Callithrix jacchus: one gene and its partners. The protein of the gene in region 4 interacts with the protein of the main gene of each other region in a pairwise test. Links are inferred from orthologs where the notes say so. Each region holds a gene or a part of one and is shown on either strand. Other genes may lie near its edges. The genes, in order: SNIP1, LUZP4, YTHDC1, CLK2, RNPS1, ECE1 and PRPF38A.

Region 1 (4,063 bases), on a different chromosome or scaffold from region 4:
AGCTCTTTTGACAGTATAAGGGTCTCTGGTCAGGTGTGATTACATTATTGGGAGGAGAAGAAAGAAACAATTATTCCTTTTGGTAGTCTGGATATTAGACAGATAAAGTCCTGTGCTTTGGGAGAGACGGTGGATTCAAGGAAGGAACATCGAGGCTTCTTCAGTTCAGCAAGTCAATGTGCCTTATTTTGGGGTTTCAGTTTCTGAGCCCCAACAGCATTGCAGAAAGTTTATTAAACAGAAGAGGAAACGCTAATGATTTGACCATGGGTTCTCATCTCTGATTGCATTTCCATTTCTTTCTCCCTTCTATTTCCAAATGTAAATGTAATTACAGTTTGTGCACAATTTTGTATCCTGCTTTATCGTTAACATGTTTTAGAGTTTGTAAATGGTTTACTAATGGCCACATAACACCCATTAATTTGGCTAACTTCCCTATTGCTGAGCATTTACATTGTTTTCACGTTTTGTAATTACTAATAACGTGGCAACAAACAGCCTTGAGAAGTTTGCTTTTTTCCAGGTTTTTTTTTTTTTTTTGTGATGTCTCTGTCACCCAGGCTGAAGTGCTGTGGTGCAATCCCCGCACGCTGCAACCTACGCCTCCTGGGTTCAAGCGATTCTCTTGCCTCAGCCTCCTAAATAGCTGGGATTATAGGTTTGCACCACCATACCAGGCTAATTTTTGTATTTTTAGTAGAGACAGGGTTTCACCGTGTTGGCCAGGCTGGTCTCGAACCCCCGACCTCAAGTGATCCGCCTGCCTCAGCCTACGAAAGTGCTGGCGTGAGCCACCACGCCCAGCCCTGCTCTTTTTTTTTTTTTTTTTTGAGACGGTTTCGTTCTTGTAGCCCAGACTGGAGTGCGGTGACGCAATCAGCTCACTGCAACTGCAACCTCCGCCTCCCGGGTGCATGCGATTCTCCTGCCTCAGCCTCCCGAGTAGCTGGGATTACAGGCGCACGCCCCCATGCCCAGCTAATTGTTTTGTATCATTAGTAGAGACGGGGTTTCACCGTGTTGGCGAGGATGCTCGCCTGACCTCAGGTGATCCGCCAGCCTCGGCCTCCCAAAGTGCTGGGATTACAGACGTGAGCCCCCGCGCCAGGCCAGAAGTTTGTTTTTGAAACCCGAAACTCCTGCCACCAAACCTAGTCACTGACCACGCTCACTGGGGAGTCGTCACCTGTTTAATCTCTCTGCCGCGAAGATATATGGGAACCGGGGCACCCCGGAAGCGGAAATCCAGGAGTCAAACACGTCATTTCCTTCAGCTAGAGGAGCTCAACGGATCTGTTTTCTTTCGCTCAGGCAAAATCACAGAATGAAGGCGGTGAAGAGCGAACGGGAGCGAGGGAGCCGGCGAAGACACCGGGACGTGGATGTGGTGCTGCCGGCGACGGTGGTGGTGAAGCAGGAGCGTCTCAGCCCGGAAGCCGCCCCTCCCGCCCACCGTCGTCCGGACCACTCCGGCGGTAGCCCTTCCCCGCCGGCCAGCGAGCCGAGCCGCCCGGGCCACCGCGGGAACCGAGCCCGAGGAGTTAGCCGGTAAGTGGGGGAGCAGCCCAGGATGGACCTAGGGTTGGGCTCATTCAGAAAGGCGGGCAGGGCTAGCGTCCGAAACGGGTTTTGAATGCTGGGCGCAGCTAGCCCGGACCTAATCCAGAGGCGGTTGAGAGTGATCCAGTCGTGCCTGTGTTATGCTTGCTCAGTCACTTGCATGATAGCTCGGTGTTCAACGCCTAATGCCTAACTGGCAGGATCCCGTCCCTCCATTCTTGTGTCCCCAGCACTTTGCAAAGTGTGGCTCAGCAGGTAGCACAGATAATCTGTTAAATTGGAATGAGATTCTCCTCATCCCGAATGGAGGAATGGAGTGCGGGCGTTGTCTTTACAATTACCTGCCCAAAAAGTTTTCACGTCGACAGAAACTAAAAAAAAAAGTTCACATAGATTTATGCGTTCCTTCAGCGTAGTTTTACTGAGTGCCTGTTAAGTGTTAAAAGACTGCCCTAGGTTTTGGGGCTGCAAGGGTGATTCAGTTAGATGGTCTTCACCGTTTCCAAATCTAGCCCTGAGACAGACAATAACAAGAAATAAATAAAGTGGGTTTCAGTTAGTAACAAGTATTATTGACAGGTTAAAACAGTACTGTGATAGTGAGAGATTGGAGAGAAGAGGGAGGAGGCCTCTAAAGAGGTGCCATTTGAACTGCGACCTGACTGATAGGAATGATCCAGCCTCTGAAAGATCCAGGCAGAGGAAACAACATGTGCAAAGCACTTGAAGTAGAATGAATCATGATTGAAATGGGAAAAAGCCAGTGTCAGTGGAGTATAGTGGTCAAGCAGGTGGGTGGTAGGAATGAGATGGTATAGGCAGGAAGCAGAACCACAGGATGGATAAATTGTTATTGATGGTAGGGGTGTTGGTAGTGAGGGGTAAAGAGTCAAAGGTGACTTCTGGATGGTGATGCCAATTAACAAGATGGCAAAGAGTAGGAGAGGAAAGGTTTTTGAAGGCTTGGGAACTAAGAGCTATGTTATCTAAGTGAGAAGGTTCAGTAGAGAGTTGTCTTTGTGAGTGTGGAATGCGAGGGAGATGTTAGGGCTAGGAAAGTGAACCTCGTGACTATAATGTGTCTGTCAGAGACCTTCACAAATGTGGTGTTTGTGTTAGTATGTAAGCCTGATACTGGAAGCTAATTTTTATGGGGGAAGGGAAATTGAGTAAAATCCTGTATGTACCATGCTTTGTATAGGTCCCCACCCAAAAAGAAAAACAAGTCCTCAGGGAGAAGAAGCAAGTCTCCTCGGAGTAAGAGGACCCGAAGTCCTCACCACTCAACAGTCAAAGTGAAGCAGGTAAGTGGATTGGGGTGTTTTGATGTTGGGGCCACATAGAGAGCCTTTTCCTATCATAGCTAGAGAGGGCTGTGTATGTGTGTTGTGTGTGTGTGTGCACGCACACTCGCCTACATTTCTACTTGTACTTCCAATGGGCTTTTCTGAAAATTGGGTATATTTCTTTTTTTCTGCTTGTTTGCTGAAATTCACCTTTTTATTTTGAGATTATTGTTGGTTCACATGCAGTTGTCAGAAATAATTCAGAGAGATATACTCTGCCTGGTTTCTCCCAGTGGTAACATCTATTCATAACAGAACTGTGGTACAGCATCACCATCAGAATATTGACATCAGTATAGTCAAGATAACATTTCCTTCACCACAAGGAATACCTCCTGTTCTCCTTTTGTAGCCACACCCACTCATCTCCCACCTTTATCATTCTTTAACTTCTGGCAACTTCTAATCTGTTCTTCATTTCTGTAATGTTTTCATTTCAAGAATATTACATAAATGGAATCATACAATGTGTAACCTAATTTAGGATTGTCTTTTTTTCACTCAGCAGAATCCTTCAGAGATTGATTCAGGTTGCATCTCTCAGTAGTTTGTTCCATTTTATTTCTGAGTGATATCCAATAGCATGGATTTAGCCACTCACTCATTAAAGAACATCTGGCTTGTTTCCATTTTTTGGCTATTACACATAAAGCTGCTATATAGACATTTGTGTATAGGATTATATGCGAACATAAGAGTTCATTTCTCTGGGATAAATGCTCAGAAGTGCAATTGCTGGATTGTATGGTAGTTGCAGGTTTAATTTTTTTAAGCAATTACCAGACTGTTTTCCAGAGTGGCTGTATTAGTTTACTAGGGCCACCATAATGAAATGCCATAGAGTACGTGGTTTAAACAACAGAAATTCATTTTCTTGTAATTCTGGAGGCTAGAAGTCAAAGATGAGGATGTTAGCAGGTCTGGATTCTCCTGAAAAACATCCTCTCTCCTTGGCTTGTAGATGGCTACCTTTTTACTACATCTTCACATGATCTTTCTCCTGTCCTGGTGTCTTTTCTCAGCCATATTGAATTAGGGCCCTACGCTCATTTTAACTTAATCAGCTCTGTAAAGACCTCATCTCCAAATACGGCTATTAATACATTCTGAGGTACTTGCGTTTGGTACTTCAACAAGCTAATTTTGGAGGGCAC
Region 2 (4,219 bases), on a different chromosome or scaffold from region 4:
CCACCAACAGTGTAAAAGTGTTCCTATTTCTCCACATCCTCTCCAGCATCTGTTGTCTCCAGATTTTTTAACAATCACCATTCTAACTGGTGTGAGGTGGTATCTCAATGTGGTTTTGATTTTTATTTCTCTAATAATTAGTGATTATGAGTGTTTTTTCATGTTTGTTGGCCTCATATATGTCTTCTTTTGAAAAGTGTCTGTTCATATCCTTCACCACTTTTGGATGGGGTTATGTGTTTTTTTCTTGTAAATCTGTTACAGTTCTTTGTAGATTCCAGATATTAGCCCTTTGACAGATGGGTAGATTGCAAAAATTTTTTTCCATTCTGTTGGTTGCCGGTTCACTCTAATGATTGTTTCTTTTGCTGTACAGAAGCTCTGGAGTTTAATTAGGTCCCATTTGTCTATTTTGGCTTTTGTTGCCAATGCTTTTGGTGTTTTAGTCATGAAGTCCTTGCCTATGCCTATGTCCTGAATGGTGTTGCCTAGGTTTTCTTCTAGGGTTTTTATGCTGTTATGTCTTATGTTTAAGTCTTTAATCTATCTGGAGTTAATTCTAGTGTAAGGTGTCAGGAAGGGGTCCAGTTTCTGCTTTCTGCACTTGGCTAGCCAGTTTTCCCAATACCATTTATTAAACAGGGAATCCTTTCCCTATTGCTTGTTTTTGTCAGATTTGTCAAAGATCAGATAGTTGTAGATGTGTGGCATTGCCTCCAGGGCCTCTGTTGTGTTCCATTGGTCTATATCTCTGTTTTGGTACCAGTACTATGCTGTTTTGATTACTGTAGCCTTGTAGTATAGTTTGAAATCAGGTAGCATGATGCCTCTGGCTTTGTTCTTCTTGCTTAGGATTGTCTTGGCTAGGCGGACTCTCTTTTGGTTCCATATGAAGTTTAAGGTGGTTTTTTTCCAATTCTGTGAAGAAGGTCATTGGTAGCTTCATGGAGATAGCGTTGAATCTATAAATTACTTTGGACAGTTTGGCCATTTTCATGATATTGATTCTTCCCAACCATGAGCATGGAATGTTTCTCCATCTGTTTGTGTCCTCTCTTATTTCCTTGAGCAGTGGTTTGCAGTTCTCCTTGAAGAGGTCCTTTACATCCTTTGTTAGTTGTATTCCTAAGTATTTTATTCTCTTTGTAGCAATTGTGAATGGGAGTTTGCTCATGATTTGGCTCTCTGTTAGTCTGTTATTGGTGTATAGAAATGCTTGTGGTTTCTGCTTATTGATTTTGTATACTGAGACTGCTGAAGTTACTTATCAGTTTAAAGAGATTTGGGGCTGAGATGATAGGGTCTTTTAAATATGCAATCATGTCTGCAAATAGAGAAAATTTCACTTCCTCTTTTCCTAATTGAATACCCTTTTTTTTTTCTTGCCTCAAGTTGTATCTGTCCCCCATTCTTTAAATTATGCCATGTAAGTGCTCTCTGCCTGAGTACATAAGTACGTGCCTGACTACAAAGTAAAGTCGGATTGCTTCCTCCTAATACAATAATCTAGGTTCCTCACTTCTGTGGTGTCTCCTACTTCCATCACCACTTTCTTACTTTTGTCACTTCCTTTTTCTTCGTTAGTTTTTGATAAAATGCATGTAACTAATTGTCTATCACACTTAATCAGATAGACATTTAATGGTCTATCGCTTTACATTTAATTGCTGATTTGCATTTACTTAGCTGTGAGCTGTGCTATAATGACTCTATTGCTCTGTATTTCTATGACACTGAAATAACATTTAGTAAAATCATTTATTTAGATGATCTTCGCCACCTCCCACCCAGCTATTGCAATGTGGAAGTATTTTGCTTTTGCATAAATGAAGTTACCATAAATCCAACAGGAATTTTTCTTTCTTGTTCCAGCAAACCCTAAGATGTCTGTATTGTTTGACCTTTATTATAATTTAACAAATTCATTATTATTATGTTATCTTCTTTTAGGGTTATCAGTTTTTTGGTATTCTGAAATATGATGAGATAGGATATAGATTATTCATGTGAGACGTTGTAATTTGTTTTTTGCCATTTTATTCCTTTTTTATGTATTTTCTAATACAGATGACATTATACTCTATAAAAAGTTAGAAAAGATAAATGCTGAAATAGAAAAAAGGAATACAAGACAGATTCATAGTAAAAAGGATTTGCCTTCAAGACAACAATCAAATGGTCATGGACATCGCCATCAGAGAGGTAAATATGTTAAAAATGGTCACACATGGTAAAAAGAGTCTGAAATATTTGTGAATAACTAGGTAAGCAAAATCAAGAATTCACATTGTTCTAAAGTTACATTATGTTGCTTGTTTTATTTTTTCTAGGCATGGACCCATACAGGGTTGGTAAGAATTTATGCCATGTCATATGAATAAAAATTTATTTTAATGTATATAAGTTACTTCCCTAATGGAGAATGGGATAAGAAAATTAGCCATACGAGCTGAGAGATATTTTGTACTTGTTTACAAACCTCGGTTGGTTGGTCCAGTTCTACTTTTAGGAGGCAATACAGGAGGGTTAAGAGCATAGTCAATAATCTGAACACTATGGCATCCACATTTTGAAAATACAAATGTTGTAGGACAACAAGAGTAGGGTAGAACATGACAGATGTTCTCTGTATTCCTAACCTCATTGGTAAGTGCAGTATGTATTTTTTTAAATGAATGTGCTACAGATTGCCATAATACAAGGAGTCTTTTGAACAATTAAAGGTCTTCATAGTCTAGTCAATAGATTGAAACCATTTTGACATTGTGATTACTCTAAGCCCCTGATGGTTGCCTATGCAGCTTCATTTAAGTTCTTGTGTAAATCTTCAGTGGCTCATCATGTTCTGAAAAGAGAAGCGATGGTACTTATAATAAGGGCAGAGCAGCCAAGAAGGGTAACATGGCCCATTCTTATGTGCCTAAACAGTCATTGCAAAATTGATCTTCTTCGTGAGCCTTTTGGAGATCTATATTATTTGATGGTTTCTTAAACTGCCTTTATGCCCAAACAAAGCAGACACTTTCTCTCTATCTCTCCTTTTTCTATTGGAGTATTCTTTCAATTAATTTCAGATAGTATGTCCCAACTTTGGTGGCATATAAAACCAAAATTGAGATATATGTACTGAGACTATCCTATTAAGGTGTGCAAATTGAAATAGTATGGCAAAGACTTCTAGAATTCAGTGAGATTACCAGATTATATCAAAGTAATGAAAAATCAAAAGTTTTGCAAAACCCAGTGCATAGCTTTTAAAAAAAAATGAGATCAGAGATAATACTTCTGAAAGATGCATTGAATTTACTACTTGAAAATACAGAAAATGCTTATTGTTCAAAGGCTACTCAAGATTCAGAAGCAACTTTGAGGAAGGAAATCATGATAAAAAACCATCTCAAGAACCTTCTGGATTGAAGTCTGGACAACACCCTTTAAATAGGAAGCCTTTATTTGAGCAGGTAAACAAAAAACAAGAATTTACCAATATAAAAAGTCCTATATTTAATATATTTTTAATATTAATGATTTACTTTAAATTCTATTGAAAGCAAGGATTGTTTCTTGGTATTCCTCCAAGGTACCTTGAACATAATTTAAATTCAATGTTTGGTAGTTGATTTTTCCCCTGCAACTATTTTTTAATTTTTTTTATTATTATTGTACTTTAGGTTCTGGGGTACATGTGCAGATCATGCAGGATTGTTGCATAGGTACACACATGGCAATGTGGTTTGCTGCCTCCATCCCCCCGTCACCTACATCTGGCATTTCTCCCATGTTATTCCTCCCTGACCTCCCCACCCCTCACTGTCCCTACCTTGGCCACCCCTCAATAGACCCCAGTGTGTGATGCTCCCCTTCCTGGGTCCATGTGTTCTCATTGTTCAACACCCGCCTGTTAGTGAGAACATGCGGTGTTTGATTTTCTGTTCTTGTGTCAGTTTGCCGAGAATTATGCTTTCTAGATTCATCCATGTCCCTACAAAGGACACAAACTCTTCATTTTTTATGGCTGCGTACTATTCTGTGATGTATATGTGCCACCTTCTCATTGTCCAGTATATTGTCGCTGGGCATTTGGGTTGGTTCCAGGTCTTTGCTATTGTAAGCAGTGCTGCTGTGAACACACATGTGCATGTGTTTTTTTTTAAATAGAATGATTTATAATCCTTTGGGTATAGACCCAGTAAGGGGATTGCTGGGTCATATGGAATTT
Region 3 (4,294 bases), on a different chromosome or scaffold from region 4:
ATAAAAAATCTTTCAAAAAACATACCCTATTACAACTAATAATACAAATAGCAATTCCTCAGGATCATCAGCTATTCAGTATTTAGCGCGCACGCGCTTGTGTGTGATATATCCAAATTAGTGTTCAATTAAAGTCCTAGAAACGGGCCAGTCCTGGTGGCTCCACACCTATAATCCCAGCACTTTGGGAGGGCTGCTGGAGCCCAGGAGTTCAAGACCAGCCTGGGCAACATGACTAACCCCATCTCCACAAAAAATGCAAAAAATGTGCCGGGTGTGCTGGAGCATACTTGTAGTTCCAGCTAGCCGGGAGGCTAAGGTGGGAGGATCACTTGAGCCCAAGGTTGCAGTGAGCCATCATCATCATACTGCAATCAAGCCGTGGTGAGACCAAGTCTCAAAAAAAAAAAAAAAAAAAAAAAAGGTACCACGTTCTACATTTACCTTTCTCTGAACAAGCTATTAGTTGTCAGTTTGTCTTCATATCACGAGGTTACCTTTTTTCACATTTTTCTTTCCGTTATAACTTAGTTATAGTGCAGTGAAGCAAAATCAGATTTTCTTACGTTGGACAATGATTCTTAGGCAAGTTTCTCTTACAGATTTACTACACTATGTAGTTATGTATTTATTGGTCACTTCCGTAGTTTCAATTCCTCAATGGTCTACTTAAATCAATTGTTTGCCCCAGGGCCTTGATACATGTTCAAATTTGTTGTTAATTACAAAGATGTATTGGATATAATTCTTTCCACAATTAAAACCAAAACTAGGCCGTAGGCGTGGTTCACTCTGTAACCCCAGCACTTTGGGAGGCAGAGGAGGGCGGATCACGATGTCAAGAGATAAAGATCATCCTGGCCAACACGACGTCTCTACTAAAAATATAAAAATTAGCCGAGTGCATTTGCGTGTGCCTGTAGTCCCAGCTACTTGGGAGGCTGAGACAGGAGAATCGCTTGAACCCAGGAGGCGGAGGTTGCAGTGAGCCGAGATCCTGCCACTGCACTCCAGCCAGGGCAACAGAGCGAGACTCCATCTCAAATACACAAAACAAAACAAAAAACTAGTAGGCGTTTGCAACTACAAATGAACAGGTTGCACGCAGCACTGCTTTTGGGTAACCCAAAGTTGGGACCCCAACTAAGAAAATACCACGGGTAAATTCGCCCAGACTGTTTCTAAATAAGATGCCAATTTCCTGAACTGAATCAGAAGTACTCTAGAGCGACTCTAGCTAAGGCCTGTCAGGTCCTCCACTAGGGGTTTCCCGTAAGAAAACTGCCCAATCTGGGTAAAGGCAGCATAGCAGAAACTCCACAAACAACCTGGGAAACCTAATCTCTGCATAAGACTCCTTCCAGGTACAAGTGAGCTGAGGGCAGCAAGGCGACGTGCTGACGTCATGTCACGTTCTCTTGGACGTCCCGCCTCCCCGCCCCTCTCCGCACTGTGACGTTGCCAGAGAGGAACGAAGCGTAAACAGCGCAGGGCATTTCGGGAGCGGGATTGTTTCTCGCAGGAAGCAGGCTCCATTTTAGCGCCGCCCGCCGTCGCCATCTGTTTCCCTTCCCTCCCCCATACCCTCGCCCGTATCTGAGCCCTAACGAGAAGGCTGGCCCTAGGCCTCTGGAGGCTGGAGTGAAAGGAAGGAAGGGAGAAAGGGAGTAAGCGGGAAGAGTCGAGAAGGGTGAGTGTTAGGAGGCCAGGTGCGAGGCGCGCAGCCGGGCGGACGGACCGACGGACCGGCCCGTGCCTCTGCTGCCGCGGCTGCGGCGTCCGCGCGAGTCGCGTCTAAGCGGCGGCGGCGGCAGCGGCGGAAACCGGAGGGGAGCAATGGCGGCCGACAGTCGGGAGGAGAAAGGTTAGTGCGGAGAAAGGTGACGGGCGGAGGCGGGGCTGGGGCTCGGGAGCGGGGTGATGGAGCGGTGGTCTTCGTTGAGGGGAGGGGCGGGAGTGGGGGGTGGGGTTGGTAAGGTTAGCTTGCCTCTCGAGGAGCCGGTCGACCCCACCGACACACTGGGACTTACTGACGGAGACCAGGCCTGCCCTTTCGTCCTCGGTCTCCATATGGCCTAGCACTTCATCTCGCGTAGGGTTTTTCTTTCATCCGGATTTCACGCTTGACTTTCCGTTTAGCTGTCCTGGGCGCGGCTGAGAGGGGGCCTTTCTGAGTTGCAGGCTCCTAGTTTTATTTCCTGGTAGGATCATGGGGATGTAATGCGTATTTTCAGGACAGCTATTTCTGTTAGGCTAAAATTTGAAAACCCCTAATGCCGCGATCAACACTTGTAGTGTGGTAAGTGAGCATGTTTAAGATTAAAGTGGCGCTGGCAGATTATACATCTCGAGAAATAGCTGCAGGTAACTTCTGACTGTTCCTGTGAAATAAGCAAAGTGAATTACCCGTTTTGTTCCTCGAATACTTATTTTGGTAAAACATCGTACTTGGAAAAACGGATACTACTTAGTTTGGAAAGATAACCATGTGACTTAGGCTGGCACAGAAATCCTGGGTTTATGCTAAAAAAACGTGTGTAGCTCCCAGAGGTTACAATCAGAAACAAATGGGTTCAAGTTATAGAGAGTTGGAGGGGTAAATTTTAGTGAAATGTAGTGAGAACTGATGTTGCTAAAATGGAGAGATATACTGAGCTCCCAAGCCCTAGATGTTAATGTAGGTCGTGGATCAATATCTGTTTGGAGAGTGATCTAGATTAAATGCTACTTTAAGATCTTTTTCAACCCTAAGATTAACATAATAGTCTTGGGAAGATCATAGTTAAAAATATGACCACAGTCACTTTTCTGTATCGCACAGATCTCTTCCGTGTGGCTAATCGATTTGGGAGATTCGTGTGGGGGTTTGTTAAGTGCGCTTTAGAGTCAAGTTACATTAGGCCTGTGATCCTTTTTCTTAATTTTTCTGGTTTCTACATCAGGAGAGTCTTCACGCTTCAGTGAACTGCCCTAGGATAGGGACAAGCTTGGGAAGTGGAGTGGGTGGGAATATGTTTAAAAAATCTCCCTTGGCTTTTTTTTTTTTTTTTTTTTTTTAAGAAATCCAGAAGGAATGTGAACTTAGGGTTGCATGGTGTTAGTGAGTAAAGGAAACTGCTTTTAATTAGGTAGCTCAGTTATTAAAATAGATTATCTTGATTAGTATTCAGCAAACATCTGATTGTCTTTATAATTTACGAGTTGTTGATACTGGAGTCTGTAGTGGTTTTAATAGGAGAAATGAACCAAACACAAAAGTGAGTAACATTCAGTACTTCTCAAGAATTCATTGTCTAAAATGAAAATATTTACAAGTCATTCATAGGGTAGACCTAGTAATGCACATTGGAGAAGAAAAGTAGATGATTTTAAAAGTTTTGCTTTGGAAATGATTTAGTGATGATAGTGCAATACAAATACATAAACTCTATAGCAGCTATAATTGGGAAGTAGTAATGTCACCTATTGGCAATATATGGGATACATTTCCCCACTTTTGATAAGGTGTTTTGCCTCACATTTGCTTTTTATTTTTTTATTTAGAATTTTTTATTTAAAAACTTTTATATAGGTCCTTTACAGTTTAGAACAAAGATTGTTTCTGGGCTACATGAAGAACTAGCACATACCTACTGAAATTGTTTATTTCGTTTTGGGAGAGTTCTATATAACCTACAGGTCGTATCATTTACTTGATCAACATACAGCTAGCTTTATAGTTAGAGTTAGAATCAATACTTGGCTCTTCCTGTCTTAAAGAAAAGTGGGACTGGAAGTACTTTATTGTCTTACATGAAATAGGAAATTATAAGGATAAACCCTATAAAAATCTCAGTCTGTCACAAATGTTAAGTTCCTTCTCAAATGATTCCATTATTACAGAACAGTCAAAAGCCTTGGTGATAGAGTTCTTCAGTTACGAGGTTTTTGAGCCTGATCTGGGTAATAAAGACATTAATTTCTATAATCATTCAATAATAATGCTTCTATAATACTCAATACTTACAAGCTGAAGCCTATGTAACTGGACAGATTGCTAGCTCCCTGTGATTCCTGTGGTGATTATTTGCCTAAGAAACTGGATTTGAAAGGGGCCATTAATGAGTAAAGTAAGGGTTACTTTGAACACTGGCACTGCCATATCTGCATAGTTGATCTACCCGAGACAGTTACTAAATGACTAATGGCAGGTAGCATATGCAGTGCAGATAAATGTTGACCAGAGGGACGATTGGCTTCCCAGGCAGGATGGAGTGGGATGGTACGTAATTTCATCACACTACTTAGGACAGCG
Region 4 (3,945 bases):
TCTTGCAGTGAGCTGAGATCACGCCACTGCACTCCAGCCTGGGCAACAGAATAAGACTGTCTCAAAAATAAATAAATAATATTTAAAAATTTTATAAAATGGGGGTGGAGGGATAACATTAGGGAGAAATACCTAAAGTACATAACAGGGGTGATGGATACAGCAAACCACCATGGCACATATATACCTATGTAACAAAGCTGCATGTTCTGCACATATACCCCAGAACGTAAAAGTATAGTTTAAGAAAAAAAAAGTCTATCAAAAAAATAAAACATTGAAACCACAAAGATCTAATGTCTTATCTGTTAGCTTATTAGTTACCTGTAGCTCCCAGTCCTTTGCACATGCTTTCCCTCTGCCAAGACACTTCCCCACCCCACTCCTACTTGTCCTCCAGACATAAGCAGATGTCACTTTCTCTGCAATGTTTTCTCAGCCTGCCCCATTCTAACCAAACCCACTGGTTCCATCCTCAGTTCCTCACTATGTATTGGAACACTTAACACTGCAGCACAAATGGCTTCTTGGGTTATCTATCCTGACGTTACCGTTAGCCACCTACTTAATGGTTTCAGCATACAACCAGTAAGTATTTGCTGAACAAATGAACGAGCCAGTGACCCTGTGTTTGAGTTTCTCTTCCTGAGGCCTCACCTTCGAGAACGGACATGGTAGCTATCCTCTCGCCGGCGCCGTCGTGTGCGGTCACTACTACTTGACCAGGAGCGACTTCTTCGTCGCTTATGCTTTCGGCTCCGATAGTGTTCACGGTAACTCCCCCGGCTGCCTCGCTCTGAGGAATGGTACCTTCGAGGATGAGGCATCTGGAAAGGAAGGGAAAGTGGAAACAGGAAAGTTCTGAGTTTTCAGAAGTCTCCTCCAAGGAGTGGCTGCTCCAAAGACGCTAAGCCGCTTTCTCCTTTTTTTTTTTTTTTAATTTCATTTTTGACTCTCTTTTTTCTTAAGGCCAAGCTACAGCATGGATCTGCTTTTTTATTTCTGCCTCTTTTTACCAGGCACAACTTCCTCAGTCTTCCTCTGGACTTACAATTCCTCCTTATTGGAGTGCAGCCACCTACTAACTCTGGCTGAAACTCTAGTAAGCCCCCAAACGCATCCCTCATTACCCCCCACTCAGCTCAAGTGTTCTATCCTTATTTTCTCCAGACACAGCTCCATGAAGACTTTCAGGTCTAGGACACACAGTTCATTACAGGGGAAAGTGTATGATGACCGATGGAGACTGCCACAGTTCCTCCCTGGTCAGGATCTAAGATACAGATTTGTGTGATGCTGAGTTTCTCACAAGCCAGTAGAATAAAGCTTTGGTTTACAGTTATGATCAATGTTGTACAGTCATTAAGAGTACCTCTTATCTCCCCAAGTAAACTATCAGTGTCCTGAGGGTAGAAATCCAGTCTCCCAGGTTTCTACATATACCAGGTAAATGTCAAATACTATCAGTTCCAGGGATCTGGGTCGGGCCCCTTGAAGTAACTTAATCATCTCTCACATCTTTGGTCGACTCTCCCTTGAGAGCTTTTAATGCAGTAGGCCACCAACTACCGTCAGCATCCCATCTGGCCCCTCCACTCTTGTTCTTAAGACGTAGACAATAACTGGTTTTTAATTAATATCAGCCCTATTTGGCTGAGAGCTGGCCACCTTCCAGTTAATGGAATGGTTCACAAATCTTTTTTTCCTTCAAGGAAAAAAGAGAAAAATCACTGTCACAATCCAGGAAGATGAGAATAGGAAGGCAGAGTAAAACGAAACAGGCTCAGGGACAGAAGTCTGGGTTGGGGGGGCGGGTGCATGAGAATCGGGTATGCAAAAGGTTTAATGATTCCAATGTCTGACTCCCATTCTGCATCCTATCTTCCCAACCTCCCCAAATTGAGGAGGGTGGCATTTGATGCATTATTGGCGTAACTGGGGCCGGTAAAATACTAAGAGGCAAGCACAGTATATTCCCAGGTAATCCATTCTAATTAGCATAGTCACATAAATGCCATCTCACCACACACTACCATCAAATGGCCTCACAGTACTTTACCCTCAAAGAATCTCTAGCCTACCTTTCTCAAGTTCGAAATCGTTTGCTTTTTCCTTACTCAGAAAATCCAGAACTCCTACAGGCAAATTCTTCCTGCATGCTGCAAGTGACATGGTTCCTCCCCTTCAGCTTTGACTGGACTCCTGAGTCCAACTTTGATATTCTGCTCCTTCACAGCTCTGGAACCACTCTTATCCTTACTTTATCACCCCTTCTACTCTGGCTCCGCCCAAGTTTCCTATAGGTCTTCTCCGTACATCCCAGGCAGGCCGACCTCCTTCCTCCTCATCTCCCTACTCTGCCCCTTCATAGGTCTCAACTCTCCTCCTCTCCAAATCTCGCCCCCGTCCCTTGCCCCCAATCCAAGCCTAACCCCGCCCGCCCCGCGGTCGCCATCTTTTCGCCGGGCCCCGCGGCCAGCCAGCCCGCGCGCTCACCGTTCTGGCGGCGAGGCCCGTGCGCTTGTCCCACAGGAAGTCCGTGATGGCGGCGGCACTGCGGCCGGAGTCCCGGCACCACCGCGGCGACGAAGTGCTGCTCCACCCCCCCAACCCGGGACCCTGGGACCTCCCGCCCCGTTCCCGGGCTCCGCTTCAGTCCCGCCCGCCCCGGCTCCGTCCCCGCCCCTAAGATCTGCTTGGCGCCGCTCGCACCGCCCCCGCCCGGGGCCCGATCCCAGCTCGGTCTCCGGCTCTGGCCTCTCCGCTCCGCCGCCGCCGCCGAGAGCGAGCACGTACGCACGGACGCACGTCCTGCGTCGCTTCCCAGATACCCGCTGGGCTCCGCCCCCAGCACCGCGCGCGCCACCACGTGCTCACGTAGCTGGCAGGCGTCGGTCTGTCAGAACCCCTGAGATACTGGGGGCAGAAGTTCTCAGGGGCAAGAAGGGTCCACTGGGACGCGCTGGAAGCCTTCTAGGCCCGCTACGTTCCGTCTCATATCCTTTCCCACCCCCTCTTCAGTCTTTTACCCTTTGCATGGAGACGCGTGGCTTAGTTAGGTTTGGAGTTTAAAAGAAAGGATTGTCATTTACAGTGTCGCTGCTAGCCTGGCTCCAGGCGGGCTTCACCATCAAGCTTGACTCTAGTGAGGCTTGATGGTGAAGTCTCATTCTCCTGCATAGCCTGAAAATAACCATTTCTTAAAACTTGACCTACCTATCCCCAGGACAGAAGTTTGCCACCTTTTGTCATCAACAAAAGTTATGCACCACTGGGGGTGGGGACAAAGCCATGGAGGAAAGATTTGAGCAATGAAGGGATGGAGAATTGTGTGCCGAAAAGGGGGACTCACTTGAGAACTGTATCCTAAGGTGGCTTACATAATGTGTAAGAAATATGAGTTTGCTACAGGCGCGTGTTACCGCGCCCGGCTAATTTTTAAAAACATTTTTTCTTGTAGAGATGGTGGAACACTTGAACACAGAAGTTTGAGACCAGACTGGGCAACAGGGTGAAACCCAGACTCTACAAAAAATACAAAATTTAGGTAGAGTGCGGTGGCTCATGCCTGTGATCCCAACACTTAGGGAGGCCGAGACAGGTAGATCACTTGAGCACAAGAGTTCAAGACAGCCTGGCCAACATAGCGAAACCCTGTCTCTACTAAAAATACCAAAATTAGCTGGGTGTGGTGGCCGGTGGCTGTAATCCCAGCTACTCAGGAGGCTGAGGCATGAGAATTGCTGGACCTGGGAGGTGGAAGTTGCAGTGAGCCAAGACGGTGCCATTGCACTCCAGCCTAGATGACAGAGTAAGACTGTGTCTCAAAAACAACAACAACAAAATTAGCCAGTCATGGTGTCTCCCACCTGTAGTCCCAGCTACTTGGAAGGCTGAGGTGGGAGGATCACTGAACCTAGGGAGGTTGAGGCTGCAGTGACCTGT
Region 5 (3,694 bases), on a different chromosome or scaffold from region 4:
AGCTAAAAACCAAGGGGATCCGGGTATCTTATAGGTGGGCATGACTATAGACATTCCAGCTTTTCTTAAGATTCTGCTAGGATTTTTGTGTGTGTCCCCGTACTGTCATTGAATGGAGTGAGTCCACGCTGTGTCCAAGAGAAAATGAGCAGGGGTTGGCCTTCACTGGTAGCTAGACAGAAGACAGATTTTTCTTCATTCTAGAGTCAGTGCTGTGAAATCCCTAATTTGGGCTAACTTAGGCTGAGTTTATTGAAGTTAAACCTCTTAAGTATGTTCTGAATATGTATCTACGTGCCCAAGTTAGTACCCCATGCACTTTGAAGGTGCCTTGAAGGTGGGAACTGAGAAGACAAAAGAGCCCTTCACCCTTTAGGGCACAGAAGGGGCTGCGCTTGGGTTCCTGGTATCCCCAGCTACCGGACAGTTCTTGAGGTTGGGACACATGCTGCCCTGGGGTTCCTGGGTTTGCACCTCCGTTTCCTTTCCTCTCTCCCTGGAGCCCTTCTCCTCACTTCTTGCCACCCCATTGCAGCACATGACCTGTGTTTCAGTGCCGTTCACATTCAGAGAGCCGCCTCTCAGACTGCTTGTTTCCAAACACAGTTTCACAGTTCGTGAAACTTCCTTCATGCTGCTCCCCACTGGAGTCCCACCTCTCCACGAATGGAAGCTCATCTTGACTGTCCCTCACCACCTCATCCCGTCCACCAAGCTTGGCAACTTCACTTCCCAGTTAGCCCTGAATCCTTTCCCTTTCCTACCATTTCATTTGATGATGATTCATGCCCCTCAGTTGATTCATGCCACAGAGCCCTGCTACCAGGTCTCCCCTTCTCCTGGCCCCTTTGTAGGAGAAGGTAGCGCAAAGGTAGATAGCACCTGCAATGCCCTGCGAGGAGGCCCCACCCTGACCCTCCTTCCTTCTGCCTGTCACTTGCTCTCGCTGCTGCCTTCTCTCACAGCACTGTGGGTCCTTCACAGCGCAGGGCAAGGCATATATCCCTTCTCTTCCACCTAGTGGATTTCAGCACTTTTTCTTCCTTTTTTTTGAGACAAACTCTCTCACTCTGTTACCCAGGCTGGAGTGCAGTGGTGTGATCTCAGCTCACTGCAACGTCTGCCCCAGGTTCAAGACATTCTCAGCCCCGCAAGTAGCTGCAATTACAGACGTGCACCACCACACCTCGCTAATTTTTTGAATTTTTAGTGGAGAAGGGGTTTCACCATATTGGCTGGTGTGGAACTCCTGACCTTGTGATTTGCCCGCCTCAGCCTTTCGGTGCTGGGATTACAGGGCTGAGCACTGCGCCTGACCTCCAGCACGTTCTTTAGCTCTTGGCCTGCGTCAGTTTAGATGTGGGAGGATGCCTTGACACCATCGGTGTCTCCTTTCATGTTCCCTGACGCCTTTCCTCATGACATGGTACTCATGACGTTATTTCTGTGATTAGTCATTGTCCCCCAGGCCTGTTGTTCACTGTGACATGCTTTGTGTAGGGAGATGCTTGCTAGATATTTTATGACTTGCTCTCTTTTTCAACAGGACAAATTGATGGCCAGGAGATCACTGCCACCGCTGTGCTGGCACCCTGGCCTAGACCACCCCCCAGGCGATTCAGCCCTCCCAGGAGAATGCTGCCGCCACCACCCATGTGGCGCAGGTCTCCCCCACGGATGAGGAGAAGGTAAACAAAGTGTAGTTTCAGTGAACTGATCAGGCCACAAACCTCATGTGACCGCAGTGACTTAGGGACCCTTTATTCAGCCCTGCCTGCCTTCTGCTGCTGTGTGGGTTAGGGGTAGCAGAGAGTAGTAGCCCTTCAGAGCTCATGGGGAAAGCAGGACGGGCACGGCTGCAGTGAGCAGCAGGCAGGAGAGGCCCTAGCGTGCACCAACACAACTTTCTAAGTCTGAGCAGTGACGTGGCATGACGTGGCCTTCCCAGGAGACCGTTAGACCTGTGAGCCCAGGTGCAGGCCCACTTTTTTCTGAGCTAACAAGAAGGGCTAGGAGAGGAGGAAGTTGGGTGTCAGAGGAGTTGGTGGGAGGTGGGGGTGGTAATCCCTTGCCAAAGGCCACAGTTTGGCCTTCTCTTGCCAGTCGTGAGCTATGCTTTCAGCCTTTGGGGAAGAGGAAGGAAGCCTGGGCTTCTGCCTTGGGTCTCATGAGCACCCATTCCCAAGAGCTCAGGGGCAGGCCCATCAGGTGGGACCTGTCCCAACTTCTAGTACCAAAAAGTAAAACTGTGGAGAATTGCCCAGAAAGAAGCTAGCTTGCCCTACAGTCTGAACTCCTCTGATGTGGTTTCTCCTCTTCCTGCAGATCCCGCTCCCCAAGGCGCAGGTCCCCTGTGCGTCGGCGATCACGCTCCCCAGGCCGCCGCCGCCACAGGAGCCGCTCCAGCTCCAACTCCTCCCGTTAAGCATGCCACTGGATCTCTCACCCCTGTAACTTATACCCCACCCAGCTCAGTTTTGTCACTTTTCTAGCCAAAGGAAGATCAGTAGGAAAGCAAACCCCCTCACTTGGGCAGGCATTGCAGGCAGCAGGCAGCACCCCTCTGCCGACTGGGCTCTGGCTGCAGAAGTGCCGTTGGTGTGTGTTGTGCCTGCCAAGATACCCGCCGAGTTTCTGGCTAGAAAGCTCACCCATTTTCAGTTTCTGAGAGTCAGTTCAGTGACAGAGCCACCAGGGATGAGTGAGGCTCTGGGGGAGTTGTGTGATCTGCCTGCCTGGGAGCACACATTTCCCACAGTGTCCTTTTGAAAAGGGAGCTGTCCTGGGCTTTAGCGCAGCTGCCAAGCCTGTTAGGCCTGGCCTCTCAAGGCCTCTTCTGACACAGGGTCACACAGCCCTGGAGAGCCTCTCACCCACGGTAGTCGCTGTGCATGGTTCTCTCTGTCTGCACCCATGCACACACCCCACCCCATCGCCCTACTGTGAAACTGATGAGTGAGTTGAGAGCCAGCTTTGCTGGGTCACCATGCAGCCCCCGCTGTGCCTGCCCTTCAGGTTATCTTGGCAACATGTACATTGCTTTTTTTTTTTTTTTTTTTTGCTTTTATTGTACAGTCAGTACTATAAAATTTGTTTGAGTTTTAAAACTTTGTAGCATTTTAGATGACACTGTGTTTGTACTTTGTTGTGTAGAGCGGAAGAATTGTGTTAAATAAATGCAGGAGTGGAATGCAGGTCTAGTACTGGGTTCACTGCCTTCTCACTGCTCCCTCGCCCCCTTGGTAGCTTTCTGTTACTCGTGATCCACAGTGGCACCTCCAGTGCTTTCAGGCAGGAGAACCTAGGGTTTGTGTGCTGTGGGTATTAGGTTGCCCCTATGGTGGACAAACAGGAGAATGAGGTGTTTTATTACCTTCTCTGAAGCTGGAACTTCTACCCGACCGGAAACATGAAGAGAGTGTGTGTGGGGAGGGGGGTAAATATTTCGTAGCAACGGGGTGTTGCTGTGTTGCCCCTTGGTCCTGAGTCACTGGGATTACAGGCATGTGTCGCCATGCCAGGCTTGCGTCGCCATGCCAGGCTTGCTTCCTCCTCCATCAGGGGGCCATTTCTCCACCTCAGAAATTGGTTTGGGACACAAGGAAGAATCTTAAATGCTTAACATCTTAAGAACCAAAGTTGAGACCACTGAACACTGCTTGGGACCTCACTGCCCGGTGCTCCCAGTGGTCGG
Region 6 (3,500 bases), on a different chromosome or scaffold from region 4:
AACAGCTTTGGGTTCTAATCCCAGCTGTCCCCATTCAGCTGGGTGATGAGAAGCCAGGGTCTTACCTCTCTGGACCTCAGTTTCCTCACTCATAAAAAGAGAATTAACAAGGCAGCTCGAGTGGGATTGCGAGGGTTGAATGAGCTAAGGATGTCCGTGCTTCTGGGAAGTGTGAGCTGTGGCTGTGTCATCCTGTTCCTGACCCCAGTGATGTGGGGGCTCTGCAGAGAGCCCAGCTGGGTGCTCACTGGATGCCTGCAAGTCCAAACATCCTGTTCTCTTTTGAACTCCTCACTGGAGAAACAGTGAAAAACTGTAGTTTTTTTCCTTCCACTCATATCAAGTGACACAAAAAAACACAAGCCTATCTGGGCCGAGCTGCTTGACTCTCGATGTTTGGGAGCAGATCTGAGCAGCTAAGCCGGGTGGCGGTTCCTTTCCTGGAGTAGGGCTGAGTCTGTGGGAACCAGACCACCCCTGAGACAGGAGGTGGCCCTGATGCCTCCCCAGGGCCTGGGCTTGCAGCGAAGCCCCTTAGTCCTGGGGAAGTGGGGCCGGGGGCTCACATCTTCCCCGCCCCTCCTGCCTTCTTCCCTGCAGGTGAACTTCCACAGCCCTGGGAGTGGCCAGAGGTGCTGGGCTGCACGGACCCAGGTGGAGAAGCGGCTGGTGGTGCTGGTGGCACTTCTGGCGGCAGGACTGGTGGCCTGCTTGGCAGCACTGGGCATCCAGTACCAGACAAGTAGGTGCCTCTGTGTTACATGGTGGGCTTGACTGACTCCTGCCCCGGCTCTGTCTACTTGGGCAAGGGAGGCTTCCCTGCTTAAGCCGGGACAGGCCTCTGAGGCCAAGGAGGGAGCTGGTCCCGGGGCGTCTGGGTGCTGAGATGGGCCAAGACCTGGGAAGTGGGCAGTATGGGTGGTATAAAGGTCTCTCACTTGAGTCCACATTCGAGCAACGTACTGGCTGTGTGACCTTGGACAAGTCACTTACTCTCTCAGCCCATGACAGTGCCTAATTGGGGGAAGGCTCTGCAACTATAGATAACTTATGCCACGTAGCTGGACTTCTTCAGCGTCAGCTCTGGGTGCTGTTGCTGCTGGGATGTGGGGTAATTACACAACATAGGCTGACACCGTCTGCCGTCTTTAGTTCCAATAAAGTAACAGTAGTGCCCTCTGTTTACTGAATTTGTTCCTCAGACCAAATACCTCACCCCTCGCTTCTCATTTCCTCCTCGAGACAGCCCTGTGAGGTGGGGTTACTTTTGGCCCCCTTTCCATTATTAGGAAACTGAGGCACTGAGGTGGAGTGACTTGCTCAAGGTTACGTGGCTAATGGGGGATTGAGTGGGCACTTGAATTCGGAGGTTGGAATTCACCCACAGGCTACTGGGCTCCAGCCCGGGCTCCACCTCCCTTTGTAGTCCTGGTATGCTCCAGAGCGCATTAGCACCCCCTGGAGAGCTGCCCTTCCGGGATCCAGCTGCCCTTTGTGTTCCTTGGTAGGTGCCTTTGTCTGTCTCACTTTGAAAGGTGATACAGTCGCGCCCCACTGATCCTGCTGTAGAGGCTGAGACTGGTTCTCTGTGTCCAACTGAGCTGATCCAGCCAGGTGCCTCACACAGAGTTGATGCTCAGTGAACACTTACAAAGTTGGAAAGGCTGGATCCAAGTTAGAAAGGAGGATAGGGAGTTAGCCAACTCCAGGATCTCTCAGTCCCGTGTGCCCCAGCATCTGTTTTTCTGATGGCAGATGGTTCACCTGGTTGAGCAGCCTCTGGGGCCTCTTCTCAGCATACACCCACTGACTCAGTCACTCACCTCATGAGAGAGATTAGGAGCATTCAGGGGATCTGGAAACCTCCCCTCCATGCTGTGTTGAACCTTCCCTGCTCTGAAGTTGCTGGCCCTCGAGGGTGGCCACAGTGTGCTGGGGTGGGGAGGGGACTTGGGGGCCTAGAAAAGAGCAGGCCCCCATGGATGAGTTGTTCTTCCATCTCTCCTGGGTTAGGCACATAGGTATTCACTCATTCCACAAACATAGGTTGTACTTAAGAACTAATTGCTTGATTAGTTAACTGACTATCTAATGGTTTATAGGTGTTTTACCAAATGTGCCTGGCTCAGCAGGTGCTTACTGCATATTTGATTAATTAATGACTCGTTTTCAGGCCCTTAACCACGTGTGCTTAGCATAGTGCCTATGCCATAGGTGTGCAGGTAGTAAAATGAATAATGTTTGAATGAACAAAGGGGTAAGAAGGAAGATCAAGCTGGAAACAGTCTTTTTCTGCTGAGTGTGTGTGTTGTGTGATTGTGTCCTGGTGTGTGTGTGTGTGTCTCCTCTACCAACAGGACATAAGCTCATTATCTTCTCCTGCCACTATCTTCTCGCCTCATCCTGAATCGGCTGTAGTTCAGAACCGCCTGCTGGTCAGTGTGGGCCCTGGCCAGCTCCATCTGCACAGCTCTTGTCTCAGAGCAGCAGGAGCAGGTCAGACTCAGGCAGCCAGTGTTGCCCTGAGACTGTCCCTGGGAGTCCCCAAGATATGTCTTCACTGGAAACTCGGAGGTAGTCCCCAAGGGCCAGCTCCTGATGATCAGACCCAAAACATTTCTATTGTTATTGCCTGGTGGGGCCCCTTGGGAGGAATCCTGCTTCTGCCTCTGTTGTGTCACTCTCAGGGTCTCAGAAAGGTTTTCTGCAGCCTGGACCTGGGAGAGGAACATTCTTCCCCTGGAGTAGAGCTGGCCAGAGGATCAGGTGACCTCTGAGCCACCTGGGAAAGCAGTGGCCACCCCAGATATTGACAGTAACCTCGTTACCCAGGAACAGATGCCCATGCTGGCCACGTCTGAGCAAACATCCAGCCAGTCAAAGCAAATCTGGCCGGGTGCGGTGGCTCATGCCTGTAATCTTAGCACTTTGGGAGGCTGAGGTAGGCGGACCAGCTGAGGTCAAGAGTTTGAGACCAGCCTAACCAATATGGCAAAACCCTGTCTCTACTAAAAATACAAAAGTTAGCCAGGCATGGTGGTGCACATCTGGGAGGCTGAGGCAGGAGAGTTGCTTGAATCTGGGAGGTGGAGATTGCAGTGAGCCAAGATCACACCACTATACTCCAGCCTGGGCGACAGAGCAAGACTGTTTAAAATAAAATAGAATAAAAATGCAAATCTTCTGATGATTGTGAAAGGCTAGCCTCTGGGAATGTCTGGGCACTTAGTACATTTTTACTTACCTTTCTACTGCACTTCCCCTTCCGGAAACATGCTGCTGCTTTGCAAACAGAGGCAGCAAAACAAACAATACATTTTCCAAGAAGATATTTTAAAGGAAGCATCCTACACAGTTTTGAGACCAGGAACTCTCCAGATGAGTGTGTGTAAATTAAATCTAGGATCTGTTCCTGACTTCTTATTGATCGTGCATGTCCCAAAGGGAAGAAATGTTTGCTGCCTCTGCAGGTGGTAAACAAGTGTTGAATAAGGTCTTTC
Region 7 (3,658 bases), on a different chromosome or scaffold from region 4:
CTAAGTACCTGGAACTACAGGCACATGCCACCACGTCTGGCTGATTTTTGTATTTTTTTGTAGAGATGGGGTTTCACCATGTCTACAAAACATACACACACACACACACTCACTCACTCACACTCTCTCTCTCCGCTCCTGTTCCTATATAGCTCATAAGTTTTGTTAGTTAATAGGGTAAGTGCTTCCCTCTTTGTAATCAGATCACTGTGCTTTAAAGTCACTTGGAGATGGACTTTGGGACAAGATGTGGAGCAAAGTATAATTAGTGTTTCTAGTGGCTCCTTATGAGCTTGTGCCTATCAATGACCCAGCCATCTTGTTTCCAGTTGGAAAGAGTGCCATCACCTGATCACCGTCGGAGAAGCTACCGAGACTTGGACAAGCCCCGTCGCTCTCCCACACTGCGCTACAGAAGGAGTAGGAGTCGGTCTCCCAGAAGGTAAAGCCTTAGTCGTTGGCCTTTTCCCAGGAGATTTTGAGCACTATAGCCTAGAAGTTTGGATTTTAGAGAAGGAAAAATGACAGCCTATGGAGAATGTTTGCCCAGTATATTAGTTATCTGTTATTGTAACAACCACCTATAAAACCTCATTGGCAGACAACAATAACCATTTGTTTTGTTCAGAAGTCTGTGGTCAGTAATTTAAGCAGAGCTTGGATAGGCAGTTTTTTAAGTACCTGTTTTGTTGTTAGCTGTTTGCTGGCTACTATGGGATCGCCTTTGCTAGGATGACAGGGGAAGTTTCCCTTCTCTGTATCATCCTCCAGCAGGATAAGATGGGCATCTTTTCATGGTACTGGCAGAACTAAAGAGCAAATAAACCCAGTCATGCAGATATTTTTCTTGTATCTGCTTTTATCACGTTTGCAAATATCCCATTAGTCAAAGCAAGTCATGTGTCCAGTCCTAAAGTTAGAATGGGAGTGTGCTAGTGTTACATGACAAAAGACATGGATACAGAGAAGGGTGATACAGAGAAGGGTGAAGAATAAAATTGGGGCCGTTTTTGCAATCTGCAACATCCAGTGCACCAACCTAGGCTTTCTTTTTCCTCTCTTTATAGGCGAAGCCGATCTCCCAAAAGGAGAAGGTAGGCCTTCGGTCATTTTGATGAAGGACAGGGCTTTCGGGAGTGGGGGTGGTATTGGTTGGTGTTTTATGTATATTGCTAACCAGATCTGGTAGTTTGACCAGTCTTTTCTACAGCCCCTCCCCCCGTCGAGAAAGGCATCGAAGCAAGAGTCCAAGACGTCACCGCAGCAGGTCCCGAGATCGGCGGCACAGATCCCGTTCTAAGTCCCCAGGTAGAGCATTTGGGCCTTTTGCCACAGGTTCTCTTAACAAAGAAACATAAAAGGAGCAGTTAGCCTTCTGCAGTACAGGGTGCCTGACTGAACTGCGTAGCAGAAAAGGAAATGGACATAGAATCTGAAAATAAAGGTTCACAGCTTGTCACTTTTATAAGCCTTGCTGATAAGGTTTGCTTCTGTTTTTTCATCTGAAATTACAAGAATAAGATCTAACATAATAATAGAAACCCAATATGATGTTTGTGAAGTCAGCCATAAAGCCCTTGAATGAATGTATTTGTATTTGAACTGGTTTCGTTAGTACTTTCTTTGCTCCCTCTTCCTTCACTAATTCAGAGAGTTGCTACCACTAAGAGGTGTCCCCTGCATAGGCCAAAAAAAATATCAAGCCAACGGCAGACATTAGGGAGGTGAGAATGGGAGTTTAATAAGAATTGAAGGGTAGGATCTCATACAGTGGCCTTTTCTTCCCCAGGTCATCACCGTAGTCACAGACACAGGAGCCACTCCAAGTCTCCTGAAAGGTAATGAATTGACCTCTATTTTAACTTTATTCAGAAATAAAAGTCCCAATTATAACTAATCGGACCTGAAATTTTGTTTTGTTGGGGCATATTAGGAATTCTCCTTAATTACAAGATAAAATTGGTCTATTGCTTTGAAAATTACTGGGGCTAGAGACCCTTTTTCTTTGATACGGTTTCGCATTTATAGTTTTTTCTTATAAAGTTTCTCAACCTTTATTTTTAATGAAGGACGTGCTGAGTTTTGCCCAGGCTGGAGTGCAATGGCGTGAACTTGGCTTACTGCAACCTCTGTCTCCTGGGTTCAAGCAAGATACCCGTTTTGTTTTGTTTTGCTTTACAGGATTGCAGCTTTGGATAATGGATGAACTTTGGTCTTAGAAGACACGGAGTTTAGTCCCAGCTTTTAAAACTTAACAGTTGAGTGACCTTGGAAGAGTCACTTTCATTTAATAAGATTTCATTAGAAACCCCCATGTGCCACATACTGTTGGGTGCACTCTTAACCTCTGAGACGTGATTTCCTCAATGGTAAAATTTGGATAGTAACCCCTGATTCAAGAGTGTTGCTCTGAATCAAAAAAATACCAAGCAGTTTAATGAATATGGAGTGTTAGCTCCTTCCCCATTAGTGTCAGCATGCCAAGGTCCTTCTCAGAAGTCCCTGCCCAGATCCTTAATGTAATTATTTATATGTGTTTCCATTTCAGGTCTAAGAAGAGCCACAAGAAGAGCCGGAGAGGGAATGAGTAATGGACTCGGTTTGGTTGTAGTCCACATGGCCTCCTGTGGATATGAGGGTATCTGTCTATGTGGAAGGCTTAAGAACTCCCCAGGCAGCTACAAGAATATTTTAGTTTTTTTCTTATAAAGTTTCTCAACCTTTATTTTTAATGAAGGAGGTGCTGAGTTTTGTATCTCTTTTTAATCATCATTAACATCAGTTTTTGACCGAACTAACCTTGACTGTATTCAAACTTATGAGGGTGGAAAGGATCTGTAGGTTGAAGATACGAATGACAAGGAAAGGATGTGGCCACCTGATGACCCTTCTCCTTTTTATTAAACCAGACACATCTGTTTCCCATTTCTCTGTCATTTAGTTTTTGGTTTGCTGTAGTTAGAACTACTTTGAGAATCCTGGGATTTGTGCTGCTGCTATTATTCAAAGATATGAGTAAAACATAGTAGCTCCTAACTTTTTTCCAGCAGCAGCAAATGGTGATACACATGAAAACTGGTTAACAGTTTTGAAAGAACAGAATGCATTCAAATGTTAGGCTTCTGGATCATTAAAGCCAGTTTCATTGAACAGTTCAACAGAGTGGTACTTAATACCCTTTATACAGCCCATTTTTTCATAGTTCCATTGGTTCTTGCCCACAAACTTGAAATCCAGGTTAAGCTATCCAGCCTTTGTCATATAAGCATTGACATTATCCAGGACTACTCGGTAGCAGTAGGTAACAGGATTGAAAAAGATTTGATGGAGAGGAAAGTATCTAATACTAGTCATGGTTTTGATCTAAATTGCTAGACAAGAGTGCCATTTACAAAGTAGAAAATATAGCAGAAAGAGAAGCTTTTAGGGGGCAGAGTATTAGAGGATTGTGCTAGTAATGAAAGGGATGCATTCAATTTAACAAGTTTGAGACAGCTATGGTATAGCTAAAAAAAAAAAAAAAAAGCCCATAAAGTTGGAGATAGGCCAGAATTGACAATATTTTAAGTAATTGTGGAATCTGTCAATAAGACTGCACAGAGAGTGTTTATATCAGAAAAGCACATGAGAACCATAGACAACACTGGTGACAAGAAGT

What was found.
Region 1: the proteins of CLK2 (region 4) and SNIP1 interact in binary tests that used the Homo sapiens proteins (3 or more experiments, as listed by UniProt). The two-hybrid records come from large-scale screens. The link is inferred for Callithrix jacchus from reciprocal best matches to the Homo sapiens genes CLK2 and SNIP1.
Region 2: the proteins of CLK2 (region 4) and LUZP4 interact in binary tests that used the Homo sapiens proteins (3 or more experiments, as listed by UniProt). The two-hybrid records come from large-scale screens. The link is inferred for Callithrix jacchus from reciprocal best matches to the Homo sapiens genes CLK2 and LUZP4.
Region 3: the proteins of CLK2 (region 4) and YTHDC1 interact in binary tests that used the Homo sapiens proteins (3 or more experiments, as listed by UniProt). The two-hybrid records come from large-scale screens. The link is inferred for Callithrix jacchus from reciprocal best matches to the Homo sapiens genes CLK2 and YTHDC1.
Region 5: the proteins of CLK2 (region 4) and RNPS1 interact in binary tests that used the Homo sapiens proteins (3 or more experiments, as listed by UniProt). The two-hybrid records come from large-scale screens. The link is inferred for Callithrix jacchus from reciprocal best matches to the Homo sapiens genes CLK2 and RNPS1.
Region 6: the proteins of CLK2 (region 4) and ECE1 interact in binary tests that used the Homo sapiens proteins (3 or more experiments, as listed by UniProt). The two-hybrid records come from large-scale screens. The link is inferred for Callithrix jacchus from reciprocal best matches to the Homo sapiens genes CLK2 and ECE1.
Region 7: the proteins of CLK2 (region 4) and PRPF38A interact in binary tests that used the Homo sapiens proteins (3 or more experiments, as listed by UniProt). The link is inferred for Callithrix jacchus from reciprocal best matches to the Homo sapiens genes CLK2 and PRPF38A.

Annotation. Positions count from the first base shown.
Region 1 is NC_133508.1:74,105,689-74,109,751, reverse strand, and holds the start of SNIP1 (smad nuclear-interacting protein 1), read left to right. Parts: upstream 1-1,263; 5' UTR 1,264-1,327; coding exon 1,328-1,551; intron 1,552-2,764; coding exon 2,765-2,867; intron 2,868-4,063. UniProt on the Homo sapiens protein: Required for pre-mRNA splicing as component of the spliceosome. As a component of the minor spliceosome, involved in the splicing of U12-type introns in pre-mRNAs. Down-regulates NF-kappa-B signaling by competing with RELA for CREBBP/EP300 binding.
Region 2 is NC_133524.1:111,522,001-111,526,219, forward strand, and holds the start of LUZP4 (leucine zipper protein 4), read left to right. Parts: upstream 1-1,419; coding exon 1,420-1,426; intron 1,427-2,067; coding exon 2,068-2,202; intron 2,203-3,342; coding exon 3,343-3,461; intron 3,462-4,219. UniProt on the Homo sapiens protein: Export adapter involved in mRNA nuclear export in cancer cells. Binds and enhances the RNA-binding activity of the nuclear RNA export factor NXF1. Can restore mRNA export function in cells compromised by loss of mRNA export adapters.
Region 3 is NC_133504.1:129,082,542-129,086,835, forward strand, and holds the start of YTHDC1 (YTH domain-containing protein 1), read left to right. Parts: upstream 1-1,494; 5' UTR 1,495-1,836; coding exon 1,837-1,864; intron 1,865-4,294. UniProt on the Homo sapiens protein: Regulator of alternative splicing that specifically recognizes and binds N6-methyladenosine (m6A)-containing RNAs.
Region 4 is NC_133519.1:15,701,450-15,705,394, forward strand, and holds the start of CLK2 (dual specificity protein kinase CLK2), read right to left. Parts: upstream 2,801-3,945; 5' UTR 2,497-2,800; intron 1,706-2,496; 5' UTR 1,517-1,705; intron 828-1,516; coding exon 658-827; intron 1-657. UniProt on the Homo sapiens protein: Dual specificity kinase acting on both serine/threonine and tyrosine-containing substrates. Phosphorylates serine- and arginine-rich (SR) proteins of the spliceosomal complex.
Region 5 is NC_133513.1:4,512,914-4,516,607, forward strand, and holds the end of RNPS1 (RNA-binding protein with serine-rich domain 1), read left to right. Parts: exon of another isoform or gene 1-1,525; intron 1,526-1,546; coding exon 1,547-1,688; intron 1,689-2,325; coding exon 2,326-2,425; 3' UTR 2,426-3,194; downstream 3,195-3,694. UniProt on the Homo sapiens protein: Part of pre- and post-splicing multiprotein mRNP complexes. Auxiliary component of the splicing-dependent multiprotein exon junction complex (EJC) deposited at splice junction on mRNAs.
Region 6 is NC_133508.1:58,137,503-58,141,002, reverse strand, and holds part of ECE1 (endothelin-converting enzyme 1), read left to right. Parts: intron 1-600; coding exon 601-742; intron 743-3,500. UniProt on the Homo sapiens protein: Converts big endothelin-1 to endothelin-1.
Region 7 is NC_133508.1:89,575,020-89,578,677, reverse strand, and holds the end of PRPF38A (pre-mRNA-splicing factor 38A), read left to right. Parts: intron 1-329; coding exon 330-442; intron 443-1,067; coding exon 1,068-1,094; intron 1,095-1,189; coding exon 1,190-1,308; intron 1,309-1,789; coding exon 1,790-1,838; intron 1,839-2,548; coding exon 2,549-2,591; 3' UTR 2,592-3,158; downstream 3,159-3,658. UniProt on the Homo sapiens protein: Involved in pre-mRNA splicing as a component of the spliceosome.